Coturnix japonica: one gene and its partners. The protein of the gene in region 4 interacts with the protein of the main gene of each other region in a biochemical or structural test. Links are inferred from orthologs where the notes say so. Each region holds a gene or a part of one and is shown on either strand. Other genes may lie near its edges. The genes, in order: PURA, SETD7, CCNA1, E2F1 and PHB.

Region 1 (6,019 bases), on a different chromosome or scaffold from region 4:
AGCGGGGAAAGGGGAGCGGGGCTGGACCGGCACCGAGCGGAGCCGGAGCTCAAAGGAAGAGGCAGGACCAAGAGCGGCTGGTGCTTTTTGTCTGGGATTCTATTTAACTTCTCAGAGACAGAGCTGTTCTGTTTTGTTCTGTTTTCTTTTCTTTTGTAACAAAACAAAACAAAACAAAACAAAAGATTTTGACTTCGGAGGACATTTCTCCGTTAGTGCAGAACCATTTACAGGGAGGTCGCATTTTAGCAGTCAATTACTTGACAGAGTCCCTTTAACTCAGAAACAAAGCAATGTCAGTATTGCGATGCATTTCAAGTTTTCTCGCGCGCAGTCGTTACAAAGCAGCTCTATCGTGCTCTTGGACCTGTCCTACACGACATTTAAAAGCATGTCACCGAGGAAAATAAGGCGTGCTGCTCAGGAATTGGGGACCTTGGCACATTTGAGCATACTGTCCTTGTGAGAAACAACACATATGGTCAAATATACCTCGCTTCTCCCGCACCGAACTGCGCTTTCTGCATTTTGTTTTAAATACTGAGACATCGGAGCCGTGGGAAGGCACCGAGCACCTCCGGGAGCGAAGGAATTTCAAAGAATAAAGAAGAAAAAAGAAGAATCGAACCAAAACCAGAAAAGCGAGAGCAACCCAAAGCAAGCCCGAACTCCACGAACCTTTGCAGTCATTTTACTCTCTCATTATCATCATTCGCCAAGTCCTAGGAGGAAGGGGAAAACAAAAACCAACGACCAACACACCAGAAAAGCCCCGAGGAGACACGGACGGACGGACGGAGCGCTCCGGCTCCGCTCCCCGACGGCCGCCCCCGCCGCGCCCCGCACCAACGGCACCGCACCGGGCCGAGCTTGGGGGGTTTGAAGGCCGGGGCTGCGGGCAGCGCCGTGCGGCCCAGCGGAGCCGTCGGGGGTTGGAGGCGGAGCCCCCCGCCCCGCACGCAGCACCGGAACAGCGGGAAGGAACGCGGCGGGACAGCCCGGGCGGCACCGCCCGACGATGCCGGCACGCGATTGAGAACCGTTCCGAATGTCACATCATGAGCTCGGAAAGCTTATTTTACTGCTCGAAATCAGGAAAGTGCACATGAAACCAATTATCAACAATTCCAGTGATTGTTAGAGAAACAGAATCGCCCAACGTCCGACGCCTCATCGATAACTGCGAACACCGACGGGGAGGGCACGGCACGACGGGAACAGCTTTGACACTCACAGTACATCTCCGAAACAAAGGGGGAGGGAGGAGGGGGAAAGGGATTACAGTTTGCAATGGGAATAGCAGACAGCAGAAAACAAACTTCTCTCACCGAGCTCCGCTCTCCCCCTGCGCCCCAGAGCTCCGGCCAACGACTACAGTTGTACCAGTTGTACTGCTTAAGGCATCTTTTGTTTTGTAACACCTTCTCTTCACTCGTCACGATGATAGTCATGCAGCAGTTTAATGATAAAAATATATTAATATTTTACTATACAGCAGCAAGAAGTTAGTCAATGAAAAGCACATCAACTTTAAAAAAGAAAAAAAATAAAATAGGAAAAAGAAAACAAAAATCCACCTGTAAAAATCTATTATTACAAATCATCTCGGTTCGGAGCTCGGCCCGGGCGCGGGGCTGGCGGGGCGCGGCGGCACGGAACGGCACGGCAATGCACGGTAATGCACGGTAATGCACGGCAATGCACGGCACGGCAATGCACGGCAATGCATGGCACGGCAATGCACGGCACGGCAATGCACGGCAATGCATGGCACGGCAATGCACGGCAATGCAATGCACGGTAATGCACGGCAATGCACGGCAATGCACGACCCGCAGCACCGGGCAGCACCGGCCGGCCGGCCCCGCACCGCGCAGCGTCTGAGTGCCCAAAGTACACAGAATAAGAATAAAAACAACGGATTATGAACAATACATGAACATCTCATATACACAACAATGACAATACGCCTACGGAGCTGTAAACCAAACAGGTGCAGAAAAATATTACGGGAGGAAACCCTTCACTTTTCTCTCTCTCTCTTTTTCTTTCTTTCTTTCTTTTTTTTTTTTAATTTTTCCTATTTGAGTAACTTTGGTTCCAACGTAAAAATCACAAGTTTGCAAATTTCATTTAAATGCCTTTTTTAATAATTTTTCTTCATGTTCACAGAAGTTTCACTGACCATTTTTATATGTCGAAGGTCCAGATGCAATGCATATCGTATAAAAGAGAGCACTTATTGTTTACCTTGCATGAATTAAACCTACGTACCTTGTAACTCTACAAACTTCTGCATAACATTTAGACAAAGCTCAGACACACAGCATGCCTAGCCCTCATATATATATACACATCTCTAATCACAGGTATATAGGGTGTCAAATATACTATAGTAACCTCCATGTAAGGTTCGAAATTTGGTAACAAAATGAGAAGAAAAAACTAAAAATATTATTTTACGTGTTCTAAAATATCTCTTTTTTTTTTTTTCTTTTTGTGCTAAAGTCAAATGTTAGCTCAACATGAAAAGGACTTTTTATATAATTCAGCAATATTATAATCTTGACCATTTTTGCAAACACTTTTAATAATAATAGCTTAAACGTGTACAAAAGTTCTCGGTTAATTAGGGAAATAAACACTCAGTTCTTTATATTTTTAATCAAGTAGGAAACACAGTTCATATATAATGTTATTACTTTTTTTTGACTTTTTGTTTGTTTGTTTGTTTGTTTGTTTTAGCAGCTGCTTACTGTTTGATACGGTGGGAAAAGTGGAGGGACATCCAGCGATGGGTGGCGGGTCGGAGGCGTTGCTGTCGCTCGGTGGAGGCTGCCGGGCGGGGGGTGCTCCGGGGGTGCCGCCCGGGAACGGCCGCGGGCCGCCGCCTGCCGCCCGCGCGGCCGAGAGCAGTCCGAGTCCGCGGCCCCGGCGCCGGGCGGGGCGGCCGGCGGGCGGTCAGTCCTCGTCGGGCTCGTCGGGCTGCAGCAGGGCGCCGGGCGGACCGGAGGCGGCGGCTGCGGCGGCGGCTGCGCTGCCCTCGGCCTCGGGCGGCGGCTCGGGCCCGGCCCCGGAGCCCGCGGGGGCGGCGGCGGCGGCGGCGCGCTTGTCCCGCTGCTTCTCCTGGATCTTCTTCATCTCGTCCGAGTACTTGCAGAAGGTGTGGCCGAACTTGGCCCAGACCTTGTAGGGGACGGTGATGGAGTTGCGGTAGGTGGGCTTCACCTCGCTCACCCGCATGAAGACGCCGTACTTGTTGGAGCCCACGTCGAAGAAGAAGCGCTTGTTGTCCACAGTCAAGGAGGTGCCCTCGGGCAGCTCGGCCGGCTCCTCCTCCACGCCGTAGTCGTCGATGAGCTTGGCCAGCGCGTCGCGGAACTCGATCAGGCCCTGCGCCGGCAGCGCGATGGTCTGGCCCTGCGCGGCGCCCAGCCCCGGGCCGCGGTTCACGGTCTGGCGGACGCGCAGGAAGCGGCCGCGCTGGTTCTCCTTCAGATCCATGTAATACTTGCGGTTCTCCCGCACCAGGAACTCGCTCTTGAGCGCCCGGCGCGGCTCGTCGGCCGCCTGCGCCAGCTCTGGGGGCTGGCTGGGCCCCAGCTGCGCGTAGTGCTCGATGAAGTCGCCCAGGTAGTCGCGGAACTCCACGGCCACGGACATGGACAGCGTCAGGCGGCTCTTGTTGCCGCCGGCGCCCACCTCTGCGATCTTCAGGAAGCGGCCCCGGGAGCTCTGCTTCACGTCCAGATAAAATCGCTTTTTCTGGATGTCCACCCTCTTGGAGGCCAGCTCCTGCGTCTCGTGCTGCAGCCCGCCGCCCGGCCCGCCGCCGCCGCCGCCGCCGCCGCCGCCCGAGCCCGAGCCCGAGCCCGGCCCCCCGCCGCCCGCCGCGCCCCCGCCGCCGCCGCCGCCGCCGCCGCCGCCGCCGCCCTGCTCGCTGCCGCTGTCTCTGTCCGCCATGATGCCGCCGCTCCGCCCGCCGCCGCCGCCGCCGCCGCCCGGCAGCGCCGCCTCGGCCGCCGCTCCGCCGCTCATGCCGCCCTCCGCCCCCCGCGCTGCCGCCCGCGCCGCCGCCTCGGCCGCCCCGGCCGCCGCCCGCGCCGCCGCCGCTCCGCCCGCCGCTCCGCCGCCGCTGCAACAGCCCCCGCGGCCACCAGCCGGCCGCTCTCGCGAGATCTGCGGGAGCGAGGAGAGGGCGCGGGAGGCGGCAGAGAGCGGCCCCCAGAGCCGGCCGAACCGAGAGCGGGAAGCAGCGCCGCGCCGACCGGCGGCCGAACCGCGACACGGAACCGAGCGGGAGCGGACGGCACCGAGCGGGACGGGCGGGCGGGGCCGCGCTGTGCCGTGATACCAAGCGCTATGGAGGGCTATAGAGTGCTATGGAGGGCTGTGCCGTGATACGAGGTGCTATGCCGTGCGGTGCCGTGCGGAGTGACGCTGTGCCGCGCCGTGCTATACCGTGCTATACCGTGCTATACCGTACCGTACCGTGCTATACCGTGCTATACGGTACTATAACGTGCTATACCGTACCGTACCGTGCTATACCGTGCTATACCGTACCGTACCGTGCTATACCGTACCGTACCGTACCGTGCTATACCGTACCGTACCGTGCTATGCCGTGCTATACCGTGCTATACAGTGCTATACCGTACTATACAGTTCTATACCGTACCATACCGTACTATACCGTACTATACCGTACTATACCGTACCATACCGTACTATACCGTACCATACCGTACTATACCGTACTATACCGTACTATACCGTACCATACCGCACTATACGGTACCGCGCCGCCCTCCGGACGAACCTCTCCCCGCTTCCGACCCGGGTCCCTCCCACCAGCCCCGGTTCCCTCAAGTTCCCTCTATCGTCCCGTCGGGGGCGGCTGGAGCGGGACACGCGGTTCCGACCCCTCGGGCCCACCCGTCTCAGTGCGACGCCGCCAAAGGGGACGCGCGACGGCAGCGGCCCCGGCCCCAACGGGCGGCGGAGCGGGCGGGCACGGCCGTGGCCTGGCGCACGTCCGCAGTCGGGCCCCGCTGCCGGCCCGGTGCCGCCGTGTGATTCTTTATCGTGAAGAATCGCGGTTCGATCCGGGCGGCTGCGAGGAGCCTTTGTTCGGAAACCATCGAAAGGACGAGCCCGGCTGGAGGGAACCGGGCGGCCGCCCCTCGCCGCGGCTGAGACGCGGAGAGCGTCCCTCGGTCACCCCGAGCGGAACGGGACGGCCGTTCTCCGGGCTCCCGGCCCACGGAGCGGGGCTCACCGGGGAGCCGAGTCCCGCTGCGGGCGGAGCGCTTCGCGTCTTGCCGTGGAAATCTGTCTCGCCACGAACGCTCCCGGGGCTCCTTTCCCCCCACGGCGGCGCTGCCGGAACCCGACGGGGCAGAACCGCTGCGGGTCGCGGGGCCGCACCGAGTCCCGGGATCGGGTGGGGGCTGAACACCGGACGGGACGGGGTCGGCGCTCCGGGACCGGGGGGCTCCGGGACGGCCGGGAAGGGCCTCCGGCGGGCGGGGAAATGCGGAAAACAAAATCTTGGCTCTGGACCCGCTCAGGACGGCCGTGTCGCGCCGGACCGGTACCTCGGTACCGTGGCTCCCCCGCCCCGCCCCGTCGGCCCCGTGGCCATCAGACAGCGAGGCGGTTTAAGACCAAGCGCGTGCCGGGGCTCCTCTCCCGTTCTGCTGCTCAGCGGCGGCTACTGGCGGAGTCCGGCCCGACGGGGCGGCTCCCGAAGACAGGGACACGGAGCAATCCGCCCCGTGAAAGGACCCGGTGCCGTTCCGCCGTCGGGCCCGGGGCTGCCGGTAGGGCCAGGAAGCTCCGCCAGACTGCGCAGGGAAATCCAGGGTTGGGGGCGCATTGGAATCCCCAGGGTCTCGGCAGCGAGCCGGCAGCCGGTCGGAGACAGTGAGGGCCGTCGGTGTGGGTCAATGCACGGCACCGGGCACTGACCCGGTGGGGCTGAGCGGCCGGGCGGAGACCTGAGCCGCGAGGGGCC
Region 2 (5,233 bases), on a different chromosome or scaffold from region 4:
ATGCTGACCCAGCTGGCAGCGGTGAGGGCGACAAGCAGGACTGTGTCCCCAAGTGCACCAGAGAAGGGTTACGAAATGCAGTTCAGTAGCACCACCACGTGGGTCACTTCCCATTTGTCTGCAGAGCAAAGGGCTTGTGCTTTTCTGCCCAATTTTACCATTTAGGAAAAGGGCTTCTCACTAATACACTCATCCTCTCATCACAGCCAGCCTTCAGAGTTTCTAATGAGAAATGTTACAGAGACTGAGCTGTTTGCAGCACAGAGCTGGTAGCAAGAATACAAGTTGGCGTGTTTAGCGGAACTTACTGCCCGGTACTACTTCAAACTGAGGTTTCCCATCCTCTAAGGATGTCAGGGTTGCCAGTTTTGCTTCTATCATTTCTCCATCTATGAACTTTCCGGAATATGCAGTCCTTCCATCAGGGTACACGTAGGCGATCTTCTCTCCAGTCATCTCTCCTTCTTCATTCACTTCTCCTACAAGGCTGCCTCCATCCTGAAAGTATGGACAAGGAAGAAAAGAGCTCTTAGTAATTGTTCCTGAGTTTTGAAAAGCAGCAACCTAAGCTAACTGCCATAAGCTCAGGTGTGAGGAAGAATGACATAAGAAGCTGGATCTGATTCTGGTCAGGATAAAAATGACAAAAGAAATTAACTGGGACTGGGTCATCCAACTTGTTTGACACCACCCAAACCCAAGCTTTTTCCTGCCTGACACAACTGAGCTTCAGTTCACAGAAGCTTTATGTGAACAGACTGTGAAACAAGGCCCAAAGTAATGCACGTACAAAAGCCCACCTGAAAAACAACCAACAGAATCACCATTGTTGCTGTAACTCAGCACGGTAATAAGAGCACATAGCAATTCTGAAGGGTTTTCCAGAGGAATACTTGAGTTTCTACCAAGAATCAGAAAAACTCTGGCTCACTTATTGACTCAAGTACTACCACACCCTACAGTCAGAGGCAGAGTTCTCACACCAGCTCCATCTTGTTTGCTGGGCCAAGGCAGCACACACCTTGTATAGGTGTCCTTCCCCAGCTAAATAGGAGCAGCAGGTTATGTTAGCTTGTTGTCTCCCATGCATTTCATCAGCAGTCTGCTCACAGCCCCACTGTACACTGAGCAACACTGAGAAGGTTCCACTGTATCTTGGACTACCCAAAACCAGAACAAAAAGAACTTCCACCTAGGTTTTTATGTTTCCTTTTGGATAGCTGGCCCTTGGCAGGTATCTGCTTCAGCTGCAGAGAGAAGATACGTGAAGAAAAAAGAAAAAGAGCGAGAGGTCAAGTTTACCGGGTAATATATCCAACAAACTCCATGTCGGATGTTGTCCTTATACTGCCCTTTGAATATCAGTCGCCCATCACTGTCATACTCCTGGGCTGGGCCATTCAGCTCTCCATCCACATACGTGCCATGAAGCACCACTCCATCCTCGTACGTGTAGATTCCCTGGCCCTGCAGGGCATCGTCAACATAGTACCCCTCCAGGGTGCTGGCAAAAAGAGAAAGGAATCAGCTATAGAAGACTATTCACCTCTGTAAGAAGCAAAGCCTCAGTGTTGGCACAACACAACCAAGCTCCTTATGCTGTCCTTTGACTAGGGCACACAGCATGTACAGAACATTCTTCATCTAAATTACGCAGCTGAGCTTTTTTTATAGGCTGTGGTAGCAAATTAAAACAATGAATGGACAGCTCTTGGTCCAAGAATTAAGTATTGCTCAAGAAAGCTACACTCACATTAGGTTCTTCTACCTCCTGTGTGTGGCTCTGTGGTGACATCACTCTGGTGAGAAGACACTGAACTGTCATGCAGGTGGACCATAATAGAGCACAAACCACAACCTGCCACCAAGTCACAGCTGGCTTCCTAGCAATACACTTAGCAGCAACCTGTCCTGGATTTGCTAAAGGCACTGTCATTTTTCCATGTATTTCTATTAAAATGGAACAGAGCCTGTCAAACACAACTCATGCTGCGCTGTAACTTGAACAAAGACAAGCTCAGCTCACTTCGACTTCATCTCACAAACCCTTCAGAAGGGATGCAACAACACTTGTGTTCTGCTTTGTTTCCTTGCTTAAAAAGGCTGCTGATGGAAACTACAAAGAACGAAAGCAACACTGAACAGATCCTCCTTCACAATCACTTCTTCCTCGAGCCAGAAGCAGCCTAAGGTAATACAAACTGTTGAGCACATTTAGCTAATGACTGGCTGCAGCACATGCACTTTTGCTGTCTAATTCTGCTTCTGATGCAGACATTTACGGAGTAAGCAGTTTGTCTGGGAACACAAGAGCAAAACTCTCTGCAGCTGATAACACACACAAAGCTCACGTTTAAGTTTACTCTTCGAAAGAAGTCAGGCTTAATGCAGTATGCTTCCCAATACCAAACCACACCAACATGCCCTTACCCACCTTTCCTTATACATGGCAGGACTGAAAGCTTTTTCTTAAACATAACACATGTCCCTGCTGTGATCTGGGAGCTGTCAGCTTATGGGAGTGCCTGGTTAATGGAAGCAGCAGCTGCAGCTTAGCGCCAGGCGCTAACATCACGCTCACAGCTATTGTGCAAAGTGCTTGTGAAGTGCTCTCCTGCAAGCATTAGCACTGCTGAGAGCTCGAGTATGTCATCGGAGCAAAGAACCTGCCAGAGGTGAGCCTGCTCTCAGAAAGGATATGTGGGGTGAACTGCATTTTTGAAGGGGGAGAAAAAGAAAAAACAAACAAAAAAAACACCAACTGATGTTTAGTCATGGGGACTCTTAAGGTTAGCTGAAATCTGCCTGCTTCCAGCCCTGAAGCACAGAACGTGCTGCCATAGGGAGAGATGTCTGGAGAAACGTTTGCAATTCATTTCTCTTCATAAGATCCCTTCCTAAGCACTCAGCCTGGCTGAAGGCACAGGTAATGGGAACAGCAGGCCTTGCACTACGCCAAGTCATCCTCCCTCACTGTGCCATCTGACATGACCAAGGCACTCCTGCTACCAGGGCACAGCTAAGTAAATTGTGATGCCATTAGGAACCAGAGTCACCGCTTGCTTATGGCTGCCGTGGCTCAATTACAATAAGCTCAGGCCAGTTTATAGAAACACCCCATTTTCTAAAACTATATTGCAGACTGCTGTGGTATATTTTCATTTTGCTGGTTCCTGCAGTCACCCAGCAGCCAACCGTTCCATTTTATTAAGGGTTATGTAAATTAAAGAAAAATCAAGAGCTGGCAATGGCAAAGAGGTACAGAAAAGGCTGAGTACTGGCGGCAGCAGCTCGAGTTCCCCCACAGAGCACTGCCAGGTGAGGTGGAGCAGCTCCACCAACCAAGCTGTGGGCCACTTTCTCCAACCGTACACTCAGAGCCTGCTCTGCTGAAGTCATCAGCAGGCACAGAGGTGTTATGTACGTGTGTCCATAGAGACGCTGTCAGCCAGCTTGGGAAAAAAAAAAACAGTGTTTTGGAGAGGTCAACTGCTGGGCAGTAGTGATTTTCAGCGACTGGCACAAGATTTAATAAGCCCATTACCAACAACAGAGGGGATTTTCCTTCATCCAGACTCAGAGTTCTGATCAGTTTCTGCATAACTGAATAAAAATATTATCCTCCCCATGAAAACAGCCCCACAGTCTCCTGTATGAAGTGACTGCAAAGAAGGGTGCAGACAAGGAGCTGACTCACTGAGCAGCACAATACCTCCGCTCCTGCTTGGAGGTTTGCAGAGCTGGGAGGGGGAGAGCGGAGCCAGCACGACTGTCAGCCTTGCAGCTGCTATTCATAGTGCCACCGGCAGCTGCGGAGCCATGAAGAATCGTGTCCTTTCAGACATCTGCTGCTCCTTCCAAGGAAGTTCTGAGCAACTGCGAGGAGAAGCGCTGTTGGTGGGGGAAGGCACTCGGGGTGCTCCTGATGAGGGCTTAGGAAGGAAATGCACCCACAGGCACAGAGCAGCCCCTGTCACTGCCACAGCTCCAGACAAACAAAGTGCAAGTTAAAGGGGCTTCTCTGAAAACAAAGCAGGCCACAAGCGACGTGCAGAAGATGGAGAAGAGCTGAAAACAAAGCCACATGTAACTTGCTCCATCATAGCCATGAGCAGCTCCCAAGACCAAGCAGACATGGAAGCACCCAGAGAGGCTCCTACACCTGTGCATGGCCTGGCACAGGGAGCTGCAGGTCCCTGACTTGCCTCACAGGCCTCCACAGAAGTCCATTGCAGTTACAGGCTTGAAATCTGTAACCCAAGTAGCTGTCACCGTGACTTTTCAATATCCCTGAGCACATCCCAATTCCTAAAGTATACAACTATAGCTCTTCATACAAAAGCTTATTTGGAAACTCTCAGTGCGAGGAACATGGACTGAGCTTCATAGCACTGAAAGCAGGAAGAGAAATACAGAACATAGGAGAGCTGGTGTTTACCTTCCATCAAAGAAGAAGAACTTGCCACGGCCATTCTTTTCTCCATGCACAAAGTTTCCCTCAAACCTGTCTGTGGATGAATAGGTGACTGTACAGAATCCATGTGGCAAGCCATCATCGTCTAGATGTCCTGAAAGAAAACCCATGTAACAAACAGCAAAAAAAAAAAACCACATTAAACTTGGTAACAACTTGCACATCTGCCCCTATCACACAGATGCCCCAGTTGCAGCACCTCCCCAGTATTAAACATGAACCCTTACCAAAACATTTCTGTTAAGAAAAGTTATCAAGAGATTCAATGTAACTCAGGCTACTGTACCCAGAATAAGTAGTGAAAAAAAAAAAAAAAAGGAGGGATACAGTGAGAGGACAGAAGACATGAGAGACAGAAGAACAAGTGAAAAAGTAGAAACCTATCTGAAATAGATTCATAGAATGGCCTGGGTTGAAAAGGACCTCAAAGATCATCCAGTTTCAACCCCCTGCCATGTGCAGGGTCACCAACCACCAGACCAGGCTGCCCAGAGCCACATCCAGCCTGGCCTTGAATGCCTCCAGGGATGTGGCATCCACAGCCTCCTTGGGCAACCTGTTCCAGTGCATCACCACCCTCTGTGTAAAAAACTTCCTCCTAAATCTCCAACCTAATCCTCCCCTGTCTCAGTTTAAAACCATTCCCCCTTGTCCTATCACTACCCACCCTTGTAAACAGCCATTCCTCCCTCCTGTTTATATGCTCCCTTCTACTATTGGAAGGCCACAGTGAGGTCCCCCCGGAGCCAAATAAACAAG
Region 3 (5,995 bases), on a different chromosome or scaffold from region 4:
ATTTGAATTTCATAAGCTATTGCTTCATTTACAGATTATTGGAGGTAATGAAGGAAAGAAAAAGAAAACAGGTAATGTTATGTCCTTCTGGATGCTGGGAACCACAAGTGGTACAGGAAGCATCCACAGCCTCCTTGGGCAACCTGTTCCAGTGCATCACCACCCTCTGTGTGAAAATACCTTCCAGATAAAGGCAAGGCTATACAGTTGGTGCCGTTGCCAGCACCGAGTGGGACCTGCCTACAAGCTCTGGTACCATCAGCTGTTCAGTGGATCTGCAGAGCACATTACCAAAGGACAAGCTGTATGTGCTGCCTTTGCCTGCCCAGAATCACTTCAAGTCAGATACAACAGTCTTCTGCTAAGGATCATTATAGCCCCTAAGGGGAAAATGTGCACTTGCTCAAGGCTTTAGATTTTCCTTCCCTGTGGTATATATAGTTCAGCTGCTCTTTGATGGCAGTTTGGTAGCTTCCACCTCTCTCTGTGCTTGCAATCAGACACAATACAAGGTGTCCAAGTATAATTTTTGGAAGGCGTCTTTATCATGCAGCATGAGGATGAGAGGGATTTGCAGACAGGCTGTGCTCCAAGGTCAACTTGCCTAGAGATCATAAAGATATGCAGTGCATCGGGCTGCTCTCAGAACCAGCCAGGCCACTCTCACAGGGTGATTCTGCTCTGTACAGCAAGTGAAGGATGAGTATGTTCACCATCAAGGCAAATCTTGCAGTCTTACCTATCTATGGTGCAGATAACTGAACTGCCTGGTGGTGTACATTTTTTGTCCCTTTTTAATGTGTTAACATATATATGGCAATGTAGGCTGTGTTTGTGACTGCCCACACTGCCAGTTGTAAGTAGTTTTATGTTAAGTTTTTGGGTACACAGAGGTTTTACCCATTAGATTGCAGAACCTGTCCAAAATCAAGGTTCACTGTGAGCTTTTATGAACTTGTATACCGGAGTAGTTTGGATTTAAGTGGTGGTGTCCAGTAAATATTCAGTAGAAGCCCAAATGCTTTATTCTGTACATGTGGAGAGCTGGGGTCTGAAACAAGGCTGAGTCTTGGACTTGTTTTTATTCCTTGGCCAACAACTCCTGAACCTCAGATTCATGTTTTAATTGTTGGCCTTTTTTCTCTGATTCAGCTCAGAAAAACAACAGGAAGGAAGGAGAGGAGAGGAGAGGAGAGGAGAGGAGAGGAGAGGAGAGGAGAGAGAGAAGGAGAGGAGAGGAGAGGGGAAGGAGAAGGAGAGGAGAGGAGAGGAGAGGAGAGGAGAGGAGAGGAGAGGAGAGGAGAGGAGAAAGGTCAATTTAAAAAACATGAGAAATGAGGGAAGGAAAAAAACATAGACTTTAATACAGCTTGGATGACAAGCAGTGTATAAAACAGATTTGGCTTTGCTTGATGGGTCCAAAATCTTTATCTGAGCCCTTCGCTTTAATTATCCCGAGAACTTCTCTCAAAGCAGAGACATTCCTGATGACAATTTCTCTGACTTGATCTTACAGATCAGAAGGGGGAAATCCTACAAACCTCCTGTGCCATCTCTTCTGGAGCATCACAGTTGTGATGCCTAATCTAAACCTCATGGTGTAAAGCCCTTATGCTGCTTGCTCTTGCCATTGCAAATAAAGAGGTTAATTTCTTTTGTACTCTCTATGGACTTTCAGAGGGCTCATGTGCCACTCAAGCTATGTTCCTGCTTGTTCATGGCTGTCTAGCGTAAACATGGAGACTCATGCTCCACTGGAGGTTCCTGTAAAGCTGCTGTTGTCATTTTACATCCTTTTCTTATACTCTAAATGTTTAGTTCTTAGTGATTATTTGTTCACTGAACTCTTATGGGAGCTCAAGGTAACCTCTCTTGATTCCTGACTCTCTCAAGGTAACCTCTCTTGATTCCTGTCTCCTTTTGAGCCTGGTGGCATTCCTCTTATAACTTGGAAACCTGTCAGAGCTCACAAGGAGATGGAGCACATCTGCCCAAGTCCTCTATCAGCACCAGGCAGAAACGACCTGCTTCCTTCGTACCTGGTTGTTCATTATTTAGTGACCTTATTTCGGTCTTACTAGTGGTGACCTCCTCAGTGGGAACCAAAGCCAGAAGACGGAATGCTTCTATGGGCTCAGTGCTGCTCGAATCTAGCCCTCCCCTGGCCGTTTTCTCTGTTGACCTTGTAATCGCGGATCTCTTGTTATTGCCTGCTAGCTCTATCTTGTTTGGTCTTCGTTCCTTCTGCCTGCTCCCACTTCCCACACATCCCCCTTGCTTTCGCTAATCCCTCTAGCTTCCCTTCTCACTACAAACACCTTATCTCTGGGACACCGCGTACAAACTCATCCCGTTATTCATATTCATGCTTTAAAACCGCTCTGCTTTTGCCCGAACGGCTCCTTCATCAGGGTTCGGGGTTCAAAAACCGAGAAACCGCCGCTGGCCGCCACCGGCCGCGGGGCTGAGGCGGCTCCAACCACCGGCCCGAGCGGACCCGGCGCGGGGCGGAGGCGGGCCTGCACTTCCCCGCCCCGCGCCCCGCTCGGCCCGCGTCGGTCCCTGCTGGGTCAGCCCGGCTCTGGTGGAGTCTCCACGGCGACTCGAGACCGCTTGGGTTACCAGGGCGGCGGCACGGGTGGTTGCGGCCCCGGCCTCCAACTGGCCGCGGCCAACAGCCGCCGCCGCGCCCATAGGCCGCCGCCTATATAGGGAGCGGCGGGTGGCAGCAGCGAGCGGCTCTGCGTTGGGAGGGGGTAGCGTAGCTGAATCCATCGCCACGTCCGAGGCAGGTGCGGGGCTCCGTAGGCAGGTACGTTTTGTTAAGTGTTTTTAATTAATTAATTTATTTTTTTAAGTGCTGTTATTTTTTTTTCCTCTCGTCCGGAAGGTGCCGAAGTCGCGGTGATGCGCCGCACGGGGGAGATGAGCCAAGCGGGGCGGAGGGAGCCTCTCCCCGCTGCGCCCCGAGGCGGGCGGACCGTGCTGGGGGTACTGGTGGAGAACGGGCAGCAGCGGCCCAGCGCCCAGGTGAGACCCGGAAAGCCCCAGTGAGCCGTGGGACCGGGGTGGGCTTCGTGGTCGGCCTGGGGAATGCCGTGCCGGCTGCGTTTACTGGGAGTAAGGGGAATTAGCGAGGCTTTCCCAAGCCCTCTCTCTCTGGTCCCTAATTGGGGATGGCTGGTGTGGCAGGGAGAAAGCAGCTGTGCTGGCTTACAGGACATCACCCAGCTGTGTGTGCCTGTGGAATGCTTGGTTTTGGTGGTGTGAAGCCCATAGCTCAGTCAGTAGATGGTCGATGATGGGGAGAATTGTAACCTGAAATCTTATGGATTGTGGTGTTTAAGTTCAGAAGTTCAAAGTTTGCTTTGTAACTGAACTTATTTTGGCCCATAATGTCCTTTGTTAAGCCTGTGATGGTGCCTGAATGCTTCCTTTCATCGCCATGACGTGCTGTAGCACCTTCTCCTTGCTAGAAGTGAATATGGAGCAGACCCTGCACATGCCAGCAGGTTGGAGTCAGGCAGTGTCCTTGCCTTACTCTGTGGGAGTGAGGCTGTGCTCCTGGTTTCTGGCTTGCACTGCCCATCGCCTCCTGTAAGGTCTCTGTTGCAGAAGCAAGCAGTATTTCTTAAGTAACAACTGTAGCTGCTGGCTTTCCCAGCAAACTTGTAATTATTTGTCCGTTAACCAAGGAAAGTGATATACCTTCTCTAAAACAAATGATACTGCTGTTTTCTTCTTGAATTACCTTGCCACAGCCTTATTGTGTACTCTGTTTCAGAATACTGCTATTACCAGACACTTATCTGGCTCTGAGAATGCCTTCCCTCCAGCTGGAAAAGATGAAATATCCAACTGTGTGGTCAGTACTACATCAAAACAGGACTTTGCTATTTACACTGATGAACCAGAAGAGAAAGAAAACTTCAGCTGCCAAGAGGATGAAGAACTGGAGTCAAGCCTGTGTGAACTGGATACTAGTGCAATGACATCCAGCATTCACCTACTGTTGGATCTGAGTACAGGTAACTCCTGTTAATGTTCACATGGTATCACAGGTACTTGCAATGTGGTTATGAATCATGCTGGCAGTGAGCTAGTGAGTAGCCTATCTTCAAATAGTTACCACTTCATGATAACTTTAATTGAGTCAGTGTGATGCGCAACACTTCTATGCTAGAAATGGACAGAGGTAGTGAAGAGACTAATCAACTAAATGCCTTCCTGGCTTCTCTTTCCTGTTAGCATCTCCCATGCTTGTGGACACATCCTTCCGGTCCCGGCCTGAGGATCAGATGGGAGATCCTATAACTCTAATGACTGTGGGAGAGTATGCAGAAGACATTCATCAGTACCTCAGAGAAGCTGAAGTGAGTATATTTTAACAAATGTAAAGCTGTGTAGGATCTTCCTTAAAGGCTGCAATACTGCAAAGCCATATGGCTGTCACACACTAACTCTAGGCTGTCACTGAACAAACAGTTAAAGCCATTACTGGAGCTTAGTTCTTAGAAATCTTCTAGACAGTGATGATGTTTTTCAGGCATTACTCCACATTCTGAAGATGGGATGTGAGTAGATTATTGCAAAATACTAACGCATGTGACTTCAACGGCTGTTCTGTTTCTTAAATTGTCTTTCTAAACAGGTGAAATACAGGCCCAAGCCCTACTACATGAGGAAGCAACCAGATATCACAACAGAAATGCGTGCCATCTTAGTAGACTGGCTGGTGGAAGTAGGGGAAGAATATAAACTTCGAACAGAGACACTGTACTTGGCAGTGAACTACCTGGACAGGTTTCTCTCTTGTATGTCTGTTCTCAGAGGGAAGCTGCAGCTTGTAGGAACAGCGGCAATTCTTCTGGCAGCGTGAGTGTTTATCTCATGAAATCTTAGTGAGATGAACTTATTTTTGGACTTTTAGTTTAATTTGAAGGACTTTAAGCTTGTGGTGGTAGGTAGGTTTTCATGCTGTCCTAAGATGGTGCCCCATCCCTGGAGGCTTTCAAGGTAAGGCTGGATCAGGCCCTGGGCAACCTGTGTTTGTCTCTGCTTATTGCAGGGACTTGAACCAGATGATCTTTAAAGGTTCCTTCTAAGTGTAAGGATTCTAGGGTTCTGTCATTAGCCACTTAACATACTTTAACTCTTGCAAAACTAAGAATTTAATATTCTTTATTAAGGAACTGTAGAGGGAGAACCTTGTAATCATAATACCAGAAGCAAAAACAGTGCTGTATTAAGCCACTAGCCCATAGTAGGTTAAAAGTTGCAATCTGCAATTAAACTTAAACTGCTTTAAATAGGCAGGGTATCCAGCAAAGCCTAAGGGTGCATGGATTTTTGTCTAGAGTGCATGATGTTACTGACATTTTTTCCTTAAGAGTTTTCTTATTCGTCAAGAGTGCTAGTATGAGTGTATGACTATTTAGGCTGATGACTTAGAGAACATCTTTGCCTTCCCACCAATCTGATAATCAAGCCTCTCCTATACTAGGGAAATCTTAAAATAAGACCTCTAAGCCTGTCTTAGAAATGTCATATGCTCACCTTGATGTGGGCCCAGCAGAAAGTTCTGTTACTTTAACTTTTAAGTTCACAAATCTGGCTTTTCTGTTTTTTTTCCCAGGAAATATGAAGAAATCTACCCTCCAGAAGTGGATGAATTTGTGTATATAACAGATGATACATATACAAAGAGGCAGCTGCTAAGAATGGAACACCTGCTTCTCAAGGTTTTGGCTTTTGATCTCACAGTGCCAACCATCAACCAGTTCCTACTTCAGTATATTCACAAGCATGGAGTCTGTTTCAGGACAGAGAATTTTGCAAGGGTATGAATTACCATTCTTTTAAGATAGATTTGTAGGCTGCTACCATCAAAATGCAGGCTTCCGTGCTTCATTATTTCTGGATAAATGCCTGGGAATGCTGAGCTTAGCCTGTGTCTGGTCAACTAGACTATCTTGGCAGCAAGGTCTTAGGAATC
Region 4 (6,015 bases):
GTTCCTACCATGTGCCACTGTCTCACAAGGGCACTCCCTCATCTCCCAGCACCCACACTGGGATACCTGCCTGGTGCTGAGGCTGCTCACATCCCAGTTACAAAGTGAAGGCCACAGTCAGTAGAAACCTTTATTAAACACGAAGCTCAGCGGAACACAAGCTTGTTAAAGGCAGTAAGTGAAAGTGCGGCTCCAGCCTGGCCCCAGGGTCCCTCCATCCTCCCTTGGAGCCAGGGAGGAGGAAACAAACCCAAAACGCACTCAGCCTGAAGGGCTGCGCAGGAAATGAAAGAGAAAGCCTGGAGACAACATTTGGTCCTCACTGGGCCATGGGGGTCCACATATTCCCCATCCTCATAACATCCTGGGGACACCCCCAGCCCACCCCAACATTCTTCCCGCAGCCATCTGATGCCTGCAGCTCTGGGGCCAGCAATACCCTGCCGGGACCCTCCTCCTGTACCATCTCCCCCCCAGCACCCACTCCTGCTGTCCCGGGAGAGCCCCTCATGGCATAAATAATAAATAAATACCCCGCAGAGCTGGCCCCTCCCAGCACAAGGAAACCTCGCGGCACCCCCAGACCACCACATCCCCCACCCCCCCTTGACCCCTCCTGGGAAACTAAACGCTGTCCCCAAGGAACAATAATAAATTAATCCAATCTATACACAGGACTGCTTAAAGCTCTGCCACGGGCACCCTATGGCTGCCCGCAGTGGGTGGGGGGGCACCCAATGGGGACCCCTTGCTCCCCAGCATCCTCCTCTTGGGACAGGAGTAGGCCCCAATGTGGGCTCAAGCACCAAGCTGGGCTCTGTCCCATCATGGCACAGAGATGCCGGATAGGAGGGAAGAAAATATTGCAGAGGGGACGGATGGAGGGGGCCCAGGGCTGCTGCAGCACAGGGACCCCAGGAAGGCACCAGAGCCACACCAAGGCACAGGGCACCACGTGGCTGTCCTCAGCCCTGCCTGCGTCCCCCCCCTTGGCAGTGGGATAGCTTCTGAAATCAGGACAAGAGCCTCAGAAGTCCAAGTGCGTGAAGTCCCCAAAGTCACAGTCAAAGAGTTCACTGATGCCCTCACCCTCCTCCAGGCCGAAGTGGTAATCCTGTGCCTGTGGTGGTGACAGGGCAATGAACTCATCCGCCAGGAAGCCCGAGAAATCGTCCTTGGCCTGCTCCAGAAGGGTGTCCATGGAGGCCAGCGGTGACAGGCTCACATCCTCTGTGGAGCACTTGGAGGGCAGTGCTGTGCCTGGTAGCAGTGCTTCTGTGGGGACAGAGCGAGGCTGTCAGCCCCACAGCACACACCAGAACTGCTGTGTTCTAAGCTACTGAGGCCATGCAGATGGCACACAAAGCATCAGGAGTGATCAGAAACATCCAGGCCAACTGGGCAGCGTGACTCAGACCACTTGCTGAGTGGTGGGACAAAGAGGGACAGTGTCCTTTCCTAAGCAGAAAGATCCAGGGCTGTCTCTGCCAAGCTTGGGTAGGAGCAGAGCCCACAGCTGGGTGGATCACAGAATACCCCAATTTAAAAAGGACTCGCTCATAAGGATCATTGAGTCCAACTACTTGGCACTGCATGAGCATGGAGGTCAGGCTCCTCCTAACACACAGCCAAGACCTCAGCCCTGTAACCTCGTGCTCCTGGAACTGGAACAACAGTGATAACACTGTCCCCACACCACAGAGCCCAGGCAGTGCCCCCATTCCATTCCATTCCCATCCCATCCCATCCCATCCCATCCCATCCCATCCCATCCCATCCCATCCCATCCCATCCCTTCCCATCCCATTCCCATCCCATTCCCATCCCCATCCCCACCTTGCTCACCAGGCAGCAGCATGTTGACATCCTGAGCAGGATGCAGGAGCGGGGAGGCTCTCTGCTGCGATGAGCCAGGGGACAGCTCCTCAGCAGGTGCCTTGAAGGGGCTCTTGACGGGGCTGCAGACCCCTGAGCTGTCCTCGGGGCAGAGGAACACGTCGATGGGGCCCTGAGTGCTTTTCACTGAGACCTGGAAAGCCTGGGGACAGGAGGGACATGGAGTGCCAAGGTGGAGTTGTACCGAGGGCTGTGAAGATCCATGGGGAGGAGAGACCCCTCACTCACCTCTGCCGGGTCTGAGACTTGCAGCTGGGTCTCTGGGGGTGCCTTGATAACCATCACCATTTGCTCAGAGGGGTCCACAATGCTCCGAAGGTCCTGGCAGGTGACGTAGGCTGCGGTGCGGCGGGTCAAGGAGCAGACACGGGGCCACATTCACACCCAAAACCCCACACAGTGACCATAAGTGTCAGAGCAGGGGGGGGCTCCATTCCCCAACAGCTCTCCAGCCCATCCAGCCCCATCCCGGCCCCGCACCGAAGGATATTGCTGGTTGGAGGGATCCTCGGTGAGCAGCCGCAGCTGCACCGTGCACGTCTGGATGAGCTCGTCCAGCTGCCGTTCTGCCGCCTGCAGATCCCGCAGCTCCTTCTCCAGCAGCTGCTGTCGGCTTGAAGCCCCCGCGGCCACCTGGCTGCCCCTGGGGTACACAGGGCTGTCACCCCCAGCACTAACACCCCACTGCTGCCATCACCTCCCGATCTCAGGGTGGAACCCAACCTCCCTCCCTCCACCCAACCCTGGCAGCTTCGGTGTTATCCCCCCACCCTGATGGACATACATCCACTGGATGTGGTTCTTGGACTTCTTGCGGATGAGCTGGATGCCCTCCAGGACATTGGTGATGTCGTAGATGCGCCTCTTCTGCACCTTCAGCACCTCGGCCGCCCAGTTGAGATCCACCACACCATCGGGGGATTGGCTGAGCAGCTCCAGGAAGCGCTTGGTGGTGAGGTTCAGTGAGGTTTCATAGCGGGATTTCTCCCCAGGAGACTTTGCCCCTGTTGGGGACAGGTGCAAGATTCAGCCGTGGGGCGCGGGGCAGCCCCAGCACCGCCACACCCGGCAGGTGAGCAGCACCCGGCAGCTGCTGGCAATGGGAAGCTCGGGGGATGGTGCTGCAGGGCCCCGAGACTGAGCCCTGACAGCGAGCAGCCGGGCAGGGCCCAGCGCTCTACGGGGACGGCAGGTGGCAGAGGGGAAGAGGGAGGTGACGAGGCCCATCCCGAAGGGCTCAGGCCGGCAGCACAGCGGGGCCGTACCTCTGCCGGGGATGCGGGCCCTGCCGCGGGCGGCGGGCAGGCTGTCGGCGATGTACTGGTGATCCGTCTCCAAGTTCAGCTTCCGCTTCACCTGCGGGACAGGGCGTCCTCAGCGCGGGGACGCGGAACGCACCGCGGCGGCAGGGCCGGGCCCCGGCCTGTGGGGGCAGCCCCGCGCAACGGCGCTGCCGGGCGGAAGGCGGCCTCGGCGGCGGCTTCCGGAGCGGCGGTGCCCCGCGCGGCCGGGCTCTGACGGGGGGGGGGGGGGGGGTCCCGCGTGGGCACCGCGACGTCCCGGCCCCGCCCGGCGGCCCGCTCAGCCCCGCTCAGCCCCGCTCCCTCCCCCGTCCCGCGGTTACCGGCGGGCGGCCCAGCGTGGGGCGGCGCGGCGCGGGGCCGGGCTGGGAGGGCTGCGGCGTGGCGAAGAGCAGGAGGTCGGCGTCGGGGCGGCAGCCGCCCGCGGGCTCCTCGGAGGCCGAGACGATGAGGAGGTGCGGGGAGGAGCCGCCCAGCAGCGCCGCCAGCCCCGCCGCGCCGCCCGCCGTAGCCATGGCTCAGGTGACGGGCGGCGCGGGGCGCGGGGCCGCGGCCGGGGCGGGGGCGCGGCCCATTGCCGGGCGCGGGGCCGATCCGCGGGGCCGTTCCCCAGGTCGTTCCGGGCCGTTCCGGGTTGTACCGGGCCGTGCCGGGCCGTGCCGGGCTGTGCCGGGCTGTCCCGCGCTCCGGCCCCGCGCGCCTTTGCGCGCCAAATCCTTTTTGCCGCGAAAGCGGCGCCAACCTCCCCGCGCCCGCCCATTGGCTGCGCCCAACGCCGAGCGCTGAGGCGGGGGTGCGGGGAAACCGTCTGATTGGTCGAGGTCGCCGGAGGGAGGGGCGGTGCCGGCCGCCCATTGGTTAAGGGCGGCGGCGGCGGACGCGCTGACAGGCGGCCAATCAGAACCGCCGAGCTGAGGCAGGAGCCAATCGGGAGGCGTCTCGGGGACGCGGCCGTGGCGCCGCGTGGGTGAGGAGCGCGGCCGGGCCTTAAAGGGGCCGAGGGCGGCGCGGAGCTGGTCCCGCGTGGGGTCACTCACAGACGGGTCTGAGCGCCGGGCGCTCCCTGCACTGCTGGGCTAGAGCTGCCCGTGACGCTGTGCGGGCTGCGGGGCTGAGCTGCGTGTCCGTGGCGGTGCGGGCGGTGCAGGGCAGGGCAGCCCATAGTCAAAGCCGCGGGACGTGGCGTGGGCGGCTCCCGCCGTCTGTATCCCGTGTGCGGGGCGCTGATAACCTCAATGTGCCTCCAACGGAGCCCAACCCACAGGGACATAAACACCCCCCCATCTCGGTACTGCGGGGCCGGAGTTGGAGCTGCGGCCGCAGCGGGGCTCAGCGGGACGGCCGGGTTAGCGCTGGGTGCGGGCGGTGCCTCACAGCGGGGATGTAGTGAACGCTGAGCGGTGTTTTGCTGCTCGTTCTTCCTGTGGCTGCGGAGCCCACGGCCCAGCCCTGCAGCACAGCACCGAACGGCAGCACCGCTCCGCTTGGCGGCGGTGAGCGCTGTTAATTAACGCTCGGCCCTTGCGATAACCCGCACCCCGGTCACGGCGATATCCCCGTTAGCGAGTGGTACGAGCAGCAGTTACACGCCAGATGCGGCCCGTTGGTGCCGCCCCGCCCGGACACACGGTCCCACCCGCCCCGGCTGCGGGGCCGTTCCGGGGCCGCGGGCTGTGAGCGGCAGCTGCGGCACCAGCTGCTCCCACCGCGCTCACAAAGGCCGGGGCAGCTGGGGGCAGCACGGGTTTGTTTTATTCCCCCCTCCCTCATTCATACGGCAGTTTATGCAGGGGGAGCGGGCTCCCCCCCCCAACCTCCCCCGTGCCAATTCGCCGAGGCTTTCAGCTCTTGTGGCACTTGAAAAGGGCAGATGCAAAGACAAATGAAAGGCAAAACAGTCACTGCGACAAATGCTGAGGGGGGAAAGGGGGCTTTTCCCCACCCGCGGATGAATCCCACCTGGCACAGCTGCGGGTGGTGATAAGCTGCCAATGGGTGCTGAGCCCTGATAGCTGCCAGTGCTGCACTGCATCTCCTGCTGGGCTGGGGGGGGTCAGAGGGCTCTGCAAGCTGCAGGCTTGGCCAACGTTATCCCTTTGTGGGCATGATTATGGACAGCCTGTGGGTCTCTAAGGCCACGCACGGTCATCTGCTGGTGGTGGGAGCACACAGGGGAGCTGGGAGGATGCAAATCTGGACTCAAACCATCCCTGCTCTGACCTCAGGGAGGGTTTGATCACAGCACTGCCCCTGGGTTCCTGCTGGGACACATTCAGCATCCCAGACTGCTGCTTTGGATTCCTACAGAGGGACCCGACCCCACATCGTTGTCCTGCCTTCTTTCAGGTTGGAACGGCGTTTTGGGTGTTTTTCCACATGGGAGATGGCACAAGTGGATCCTGCTTCCCAAGAGTTAGGAATCCTTCCTTTCGTTGTATTACTATACAGAACGCTACAGTAGCAATTTTGCCCCCAGGATACCAGCTATGGCCTTGGATGCTGAACAGAGCAAGTTCAGCTCCTTTACTTCCTTCTCTTTTACAGTGGTATCCAATGTTGAAACTCAGTATCAACCTGCGGTCCCAGGGTGAGGGCAGCAGGGCCATGGAAGCTGCTCGCCCCCCGAACCAAGACAGCCTTGTGAAGCCCCTGTGAGCCAGAGAAGTCACTGCCTGCCTCCCAAATGAGCTGCTGAACGCTGCTCCATCCCACCAGGCTCTCAGGCTGCCTTCAGCCCAGTGTGCTGGCTTACAAGGGGAGAATAGGGCAGGATGTCTTCTGCAGAGAGCCAGAGCCATCCAGGAGCATGGCTGGGGAA
Region 5 (5,932 bases), on a different chromosome or scaffold from region 4:
GAACTGGCAGGTAAAGGTGATCGGATTAGCTGTGGCTGCAGAGCCAGGTTCACTGCGGCAACTGGAGGAGAACAGACTGTCCAGAGGGCAAGTAGGTGATGTTGCGAGACCTTGAAAGCTGGTAAGCAATATCTTCAGCTGCCTCCAGCTTGCGTAGCTCAATTAAGCCATCACCTGCAGTAGCTAGCGAGTTGGCAATCAGCTCAGCTGCTTTGGAGTCTCCCTCAGCTGAGATAACAGCTGCTTTCTTCTGCTGCTCAGCCTGCAAGAAAACAGGTGAGAAGAAAAATGAGCAGAAAAGGAAACAGAAGGAAGATGCTACAGGCAAGCTTTAAGTATAAATTCCCCCTTCACCACTCTATTGTTCTTTCCTTCAGAAGACTTAAGAGAGCTAAACCAGGTGGTTGTATGTTAAAGCTGTGCATATACACATATATACACAAACACATATTTGCCTATTGTGGAGGGGATGTTTAAAAATCGACTTGAAATTGTCTTATCTTAACCTCATGAAACAGCAGCTCGCCTAAGGGCACTCCTGGTGGACAGCTGTCTAGAGAAGATTTGAGCACTGAACTATATTAGCATTATGATTCTGAGTGACACCTGTCATATACCTGCCTGGTTTCCTGGGCAGGTGACTAAAGTATTCACTGTGAGAAGAAATGACTGAGATACCAGGAACTACTTCCAAGCTAAAGTTTCTCAAAAGAATAAAGTACCTTTTCCACAATGAACCTGGCTCGCTCTGCTTCTTGCTGGGCCACTTGCTTCATTTCAACTGCTTCGGTGAATTCCTTACCAAAGGTCAGATGGGTCTGCAAGGCAGAAATCACAGTCCACAACAGCATTTACAGCAACACTGCTACCAACAGCACATGTCTAAGGCAGGAGGCGTTTTGCCTTTATCAGAGAAGATGGAAAGTCAGTATCGCTAAAAAAAAGAATGCAGTGTAACAGAAACTAAACCTAGCAAGCTTTCCATCCTTTTAAAAAACAAAGTCTATAGGTGGCCAGTGACACAACCAACTACTTTGACTTGAGCTGTAACCACTGCATCATGTGCAACTGCAAACAAACAGGGTCCACATACACAAGCTTTCACACCTCTTCTCCGATCCTCTACCAATTTTCTTCCCTATTTGCACAGGGAGAAAAACTGAAAGGGAACTCTTACCAAGGACACATCATCCAGAATGAGGCCAAAAGTTGCTGCTCTCTCTGTGAGGTCTTCGCTCACTTGCCTGGAGACCAGTTCTCTTTGAGTGATCAATTCTCCAGCATCAAAGCGAGCCTGAAGTCAGGATGGACAACAGTGAGAAGAAAGCTCTCAGATGCTCTACTTGTCACCCAACTTGATGAAAATAAAGCCAAGTAGTTAAAACGACAGAGAAGCAATCAGCATAGATACAGTTTTAACTCTTCTGTATTGCACATTAGAGCCAAGGGGTATAAAGAGAAGCCTCATTTTAGAGCTTCACATTTTCCACAATTCAGCACGTCTCATTAGTGCTAAAACAAAAGAGAAGCGACAGGTTGACCCCAGCATTTGTGCTGTTCTTACCACAACAGATTTGAGGATTTCAGTTGTGATGGAGGGCAGGACACGCTCATCATAGTCCTCCCCAATACTTGTGAAGATCCGGGGTAGCTGCGCAGTCACGGGTCTGAACAGGATACGCAGCGTGATGTTCACATTCTGTAGATCTGCAGAAACAGGCACAAATTTAGCATTAAACCTTATGGGCAGGAGATATACTGAAGCTGTCCCCTCCAGAGGAAAGCAAAATAAGACAAACATTCAGACTTCTAACAAAGGAAAGGTTTGTAGTATTTCATTAACCAAGGACTATATTTCACATAGGGATCCAAATCCTCCTTACAGATTAAACTGAAGCTTCAGTTTGTCTGTAATGCAGGGAATTACCCTACAGTAAACACAGACTTTTTATTTAAAGGATAAGTATCAAACTATTCCTGACTGCTAAACTCTACACTCATAGAATCTCCATGTTCAGAGATAAAACCCTCATTCCTATAGTCCTCTAGCACGTTAATGATCATAAGTGTCTTCAAAAAGCTTTTTCTCATGCCTCTGCCCACCCAGCTCCAAAGCAGCAGAAGAGTGAGACACACACAGTGCACATCAGAGTGCCTGGATCTTATAGAGCTGCCCAGTCCCAAACCTCACCTTTGCTGCCAGTAATGACAGGTATGTTACGTGGGCGAGAACGGCAATCAAAAATGATCGGTTTCTGTACCCAGGGGATGAGGAAATGAGTTCCTTCTCCTACCACCGTATCCTGGACTCCACGGAATCGATCAAAGATAACAGCTCTGTGTCCTGCATCAACTGGAAAAGAAAACAACATAGATTCAGTAGCATCATGAGTTATATCTGCACAGCAGCAAAACTTCCATAGGGACAGTCTATGGAGGTTAGTTAAGGCTTTTTGCTATGTAAAAATGGCAAAGCTATTAATATTCTTAGGAATAACAAATCAAAAGAGAATACTCATCCATTACCACTGAGCCCTCAGCCTGCTCACAAGAGAGTTGTGTTGAAAAAGCCTGAATTCCTCCTACTTATGCAATGCACAAGGTACAAAACAGCCCTGAAAGAGGCTTTATCACTGTCTTCCCCAGATACCACAAGCAATAAAAGCACAGAGCAGCCAGATAATAAGGACATAAAGAGAACTGGAAACACTCAGCCTGTCCCACTCACCATTATATAGAGCAGAATTGACGACTCCACCTGCAACAGCCAACCCCAGGCCGAACTTCCCAATGCTCTCAAACACTTTGGCAGCCATTTCTCACGTGCTGTTCTAACCCCTTTATGATGAACCTCCTGCAAAAAAAAAATCCCATAACTTCGGTAAAACTATAGGAAACGAGAAAACCAGGCAGCCCTAGTGTGTACCTAGAGCTGGGATGGAACCCCAATCCAAAAAGCCCACCATGAAATGGGATCATTCATTATAATAGCAATTTCTTTGCCCCTCAGCAGCCATACAGGCCTCTCCACTCCCCCCCCCCTTATCACCTTGGACTCTGAACCCAAGACCCCACATCCCCCCCTTCCCCCCCCCCAAAACCCCTCGAGGAACCCCACACCTCGAACCCCCTTTAATTCCCCATTCTCCCCCCCTCCCTCCTCCCACCCACGTTTCCCGAGGCCTCTGACTCTCAGGACACAGACCTGGCGGGTGAAGGCCTCGTTCGTACCCTCAGCCCCCAGCTCAGCTCCAATACCCCAAGACCCTCCGCCCCCTCCCACCCCACTCTCCTCCCGCAGCTCCCCTGACCTCCACATGAATCCTCGGCCTCCCACCCTACCGCGCATGCGTGCAACCTCAACACGCCCTCTCCCTATTGGCCCGCGCTTTCCACGAGGCATTCTGGGACTTGTAGTTCTTCGTTGTTATTGTAGTTACAGGGTAGGACACAACTCCCAGCGAGCTTCGCGGCGGTACCACATGCTGAGCAAGGCTGCTTCCTATTGGTTGTTTAGCTCGCTGATAGCAATGAGCCTCTGGGCCTGCAACCCCAGAGCCGGGCAGGCCCAGGCAGAGGAAGGAGCTTAATGCTTAACACAGACCATTGACATTGAGGCGCAGTGCTATTTTATTTAGCTCTTAGCTTTAGCTGACATGGCTCCTTGTGCTGTACACAGGCGGTGCTTTGCTCTGCTTGTTGTGGTCTGTGGTCCTCACCATTGCTGCATGTACTGAATAGCCTATAGATGCAAAGGGAAATTACTTTGGCTTCTAAACAGATGGATCTCAGCTCTTTGAGGCAGCTCCTTACCGTGAAGCGATTGGGCAGCCTGGCACTTGGGTTGGACGCTTGATGACTCGGGCAGCAGCAACGATACGGCTGAGGCTCTATAATAGGAACAAGGTAGAGCTGAGTAGAGCCCAGCCCGGCTCTCAGCCCTTCCTTTAACCCCAGGGCCGCTTTCTGCTCACCGGGAGGCAATGCCTGCGTCGGGCTGTTATCAATACCGTGCCTCGTATCCATTCTAGAGCAGCCCGCGGACTGCAAAGTACATATGGGGCTATAAGAGCCGCCCTAGCTCCGTTCCCCAGCCCTTCCCTCGCTCTACACACACCCGTATTAACGCGGCCCTGCGCCGCTCCAGCGCGGCCTGCCTTCGCCTCGCCTCCCAGTGCAAGGCCGACATGGCGGCGGCAAGCGTCGCCTAGCAACGGCCACTTCCGGCACCCCCCAGCGCTGATTGGATCCGGACAGAGCCGCTCTAGCTCTCTATCCTCTCTATGATCAGCTTGACTTCCGGTGCTTCCCGGATGCGGAAGTGGCTCCTGGTGTGTGGGGTGGGGGTGGGGGAAAGATGGCGGACCTGGCGGCTTTAGAGGAGCTCGCCAAGCTCGAGTATTTATCGCTGGTCTCTAAGGTCTGCACCGAGCTTGACAACCACCTGGGTATCAACGATAAGGATCTGGGTGAGTGAGGTGGGGTGATAGCTGTGGGGAGGTTGTAACCGGGCCTGACGGCCATGATGCCTTCAACGAAAGGCCTTTGGAATTGAGAAGAATAAAATATATCTCTAAAAGAAATATTATAAAACGTTTAGATGTGAGCGCCTAGAAGGGGATGCTGCTGTTCTGTAGGTAGATGGATCGATCTGGGTGCTGCCCTTGAACACCTTGGAGGTGTTCGAGACCAGGTTGGACAGGGCCCTGGGCAACCTGATCTATGGGATCTATGGGGTCTCTGTGGGGATCTATGGGGTCCATGGGGTCTCTATGGGGATCTATGGGGTCCATGGGGTCTATGGGGATCTATGGGGTCTCTATGGGGATCTATGGGGTCTCCTGGGCAACCTGATCTAGTAAATGTGTATGTTTGGTGGCCCTGCCAGGCAGGGGGGTTGGAACTACATGATCCTTGAGGTCCCTTCCAACCCGGGTCATTCTGTGATTCTGTGTGATTCTGTGCCCTTGTGCTATTTGATTCACTTTGTGCTCTTTCTTTGTAGCCGAATTTGTGATCAGCCTCGCCGAGAAAAACACGACGTTTGACACGTTTAAAGCCGTTCTGCTAAAGAATGGGGCTGAGTTCACAGTAAGTGAGATCTGAATGTGTTCTGTGTGTTCCTTTATCAAAGGGAGATATAGGGATTGGCTATACTGCAGGGCTATGCAATATTCAGCCTTTCAATCTTTGCCCTGTTGTTTACCCCCATATTGTGCTTTGTAATAATGACCAAAAGTGATGCTATCACCTCTTACATCTTAAACCTTCTATTCTGTTTGCAGGATTCCCTTATCAGCAACTTGTTGCGTCTCATACAAACGATGCGGCCTCCATCAAAACCATCTGCGAGTAAAGGTGAGTGAAGTCTTTTCTTTTCCCTTCCATCAGTTCAGTTAAAAAGAAACAAACCCAACCAAACTGTGCTCTCGAATCCTTTGCAGTTTGTGTCTTGTGTTTGCTGAGGGCAATATATTTAATATTCTAAAATAATAAGATCCGTATTAACCTCTATATGTGGCTGAAAGTTTAACATTCAATTTCAGAAAGGCTGAGATGAAATCATTTTGACTCTTACAAACTATCTGTTTGTTTTGTTCATCTCCAAATCAGAGGCCGTTACCAAACCCAAATCGGAAAAGGAAAGATTGAAGGAATTATTTCCAGCCCTTTGCAGGCCAGACAATCCCAACGTTAGGGTAAGGTCATCATTTCAGTTTCCTTTAATGAGTGTGTGAAAATGTAGTTTGTGGCTCTTTTGGTGTCTCTATTTCAGGTTTTTCTTCACGTTAGCATTTATATCTCCAGCCAAAGCGTGGATAAGAGCAGACTGAGAATTAAAACATCAATGAGCCCAAAGGCTGATATTATTGGATGTAATCCTTAGGAATAACTGTTACCAATAGTTACTTCTACAAACTTATATTCTGTA

Evidence for each region.
Region 1: the proteins of E2F1 (region 4) and PURA form a complex in vitro, tested with the Homo sapiens proteins (2 studies listed by BioGRID). The link is inferred for Coturnix japonica from reciprocal best matches to the Homo sapiens genes E2F1 and PURA.
Region 2: of the proteins of E2F1 (region 4) and SETD7, one has a biochemical effect on the other in vitro, tested with the Homo sapiens proteins (3 studies listed by BioGRID). The link is inferred for Coturnix japonica from reciprocal best matches to the Homo sapiens genes E2F1 and SETD7.
Region 3: the proteins of E2F1 (region 4) and CCNA1 form a complex in vitro, tested with the Homo sapiens proteins (2 studies listed by BioGRID). The link is inferred for Coturnix japonica from reciprocal best matches to the Homo sapiens genes E2F1 and CCNA1.
Region 5: the proteins of E2F1 (region 4) and PHB form a complex in vitro, tested with the Homo sapiens proteins (2 studies listed by BioGRID). The link is inferred for Coturnix japonica from reciprocal best matches to the Homo sapiens genes E2F1 and PHB1.

The regions. Positions count from the first base shown.
Region 1 is NC_029528.1:15,483,403-15,489,421, reverse strand, and holds the start of PURA (transcriptional activator protein Pur-alpha), read right to left. Parts: upstream 3,979-6,019; 5' UTR 3,964-3,978; coding exon 2,962-3,963; 3' UTR 2,757-2,961; intron 1-2,756. Other genes in the region: translation initiation factor IF-2-like, read left to right, coding at 4,383-5,972. UniProt on the Homo sapiens protein: This is a probable transcription activator that specifically binds the purine-rich single strand of the PUR element located upstream of the MYC gene. May play a role in the initiation of DNA replication and in recombination.
Region 2 is NC_029519.1:25,733,239-25,738,471, forward strand, and holds part of SETD7 (histone-lysine N-methyltransferase SETD7), read right to left. Parts: intron 4,569-5,233; coding exon 4,439-4,568; intron 1,505-4,438; coding exon 1,303-1,504; intron 499-1,302; coding exon 309-498; intron 1-308. UniProt on the Homo sapiens protein: Histone methyltransferase that specifically monomethylates 'Lys-4' of histone H3. H3 'Lys-4' methylation represents a specific tag for epigenetic transcriptional activation.
Region 3 is NC_029516.1:154,344,972-154,350,966, reverse strand, and holds the start of CCNA1 (cyclin-A1), read left to right. Parts: upstream 1-2,608; 5' UTR 2,609-2,792; exon of another isoform or gene 2,793-2,812; intron 2,813-2,890; 5' UTR 2,891-2,907; coding exon 2,908-3,030; intron 3,031-3,784; coding exon 3,785-4,028; intron 4,029-4,248; coding exon 4,249-4,373; intron 4,374-4,651; coding exon 4,652-4,875; intron 4,876-5,635; coding exon 5,636-5,840; intron 5,841-5,995. UniProt on the Homo sapiens protein: May be involved in the control of the cell cycle at the G1/S (start) and G2/M (mitosis) transitions. May primarily function in the control of the germline meiotic cell cycle and additionally in the control of mitotic cell cycle in some somatic cells.
Region 4 is NC_029535.1:1,932,394-1,938,408, reverse strand, and holds E2F1 (transcription factor E2F1), read right to left. Parts: upstream 3,728-6,015; 5' UTR 3,713-3,727; coding exon 3,521-3,712; intron 3,253-3,520; coding exon 3,162-3,252; intron 2,901-3,161; coding exon 2,681-2,900; intron 2,540-2,680; coding exon 2,387-2,539; intron 2,240-2,386; coding exon 2,125-2,239; intron 2,039-2,124; coding exon 1,846-2,038; intron 1,276-1,845; coding exon 1,028-1,275; 3' UTR 117-1,027; downstream 1-116. UniProt on the Homo sapiens protein: Transcription activator that binds DNA cooperatively with DP proteins through the E2 recognition site, 5'-TTTC[CG]CGC-3' found in the promoter region of a number of genes whose products are involved in cell cycle regulation or in DNA replication.
Region 5 is NC_029542.1:2,951,271-2,957,202, reverse strand, and holds the start of PHB (prohibitin), read right to left. Parts: upstream 3,412-5,932; 5' UTR 3,312-3,411; exon of another isoform or gene 3,206-3,311; intron 2,855-3,205; 5' UTR 2,817-2,854; coding exon 2,729-2,816; intron 2,354-2,728; coding exon 2,192-2,353; intron 1,708-2,191; coding exon 1,565-1,707; intron 1,407-1,564; exon of another isoform or gene 1,295-1,406; coding exon 1,178-1,294; exon of another isoform or gene 1,151-1,177; intron 819-1,150; coding exon 723-818; intron 263-722; coding exon 50-262; 3' UTR 1-49. Other genes in the region: ATP-dependent RNA helicase DHX8, read left to right, coding at 4,358-4,469, 5,006-5,091, 5,286-5,358, 5,614-5,699.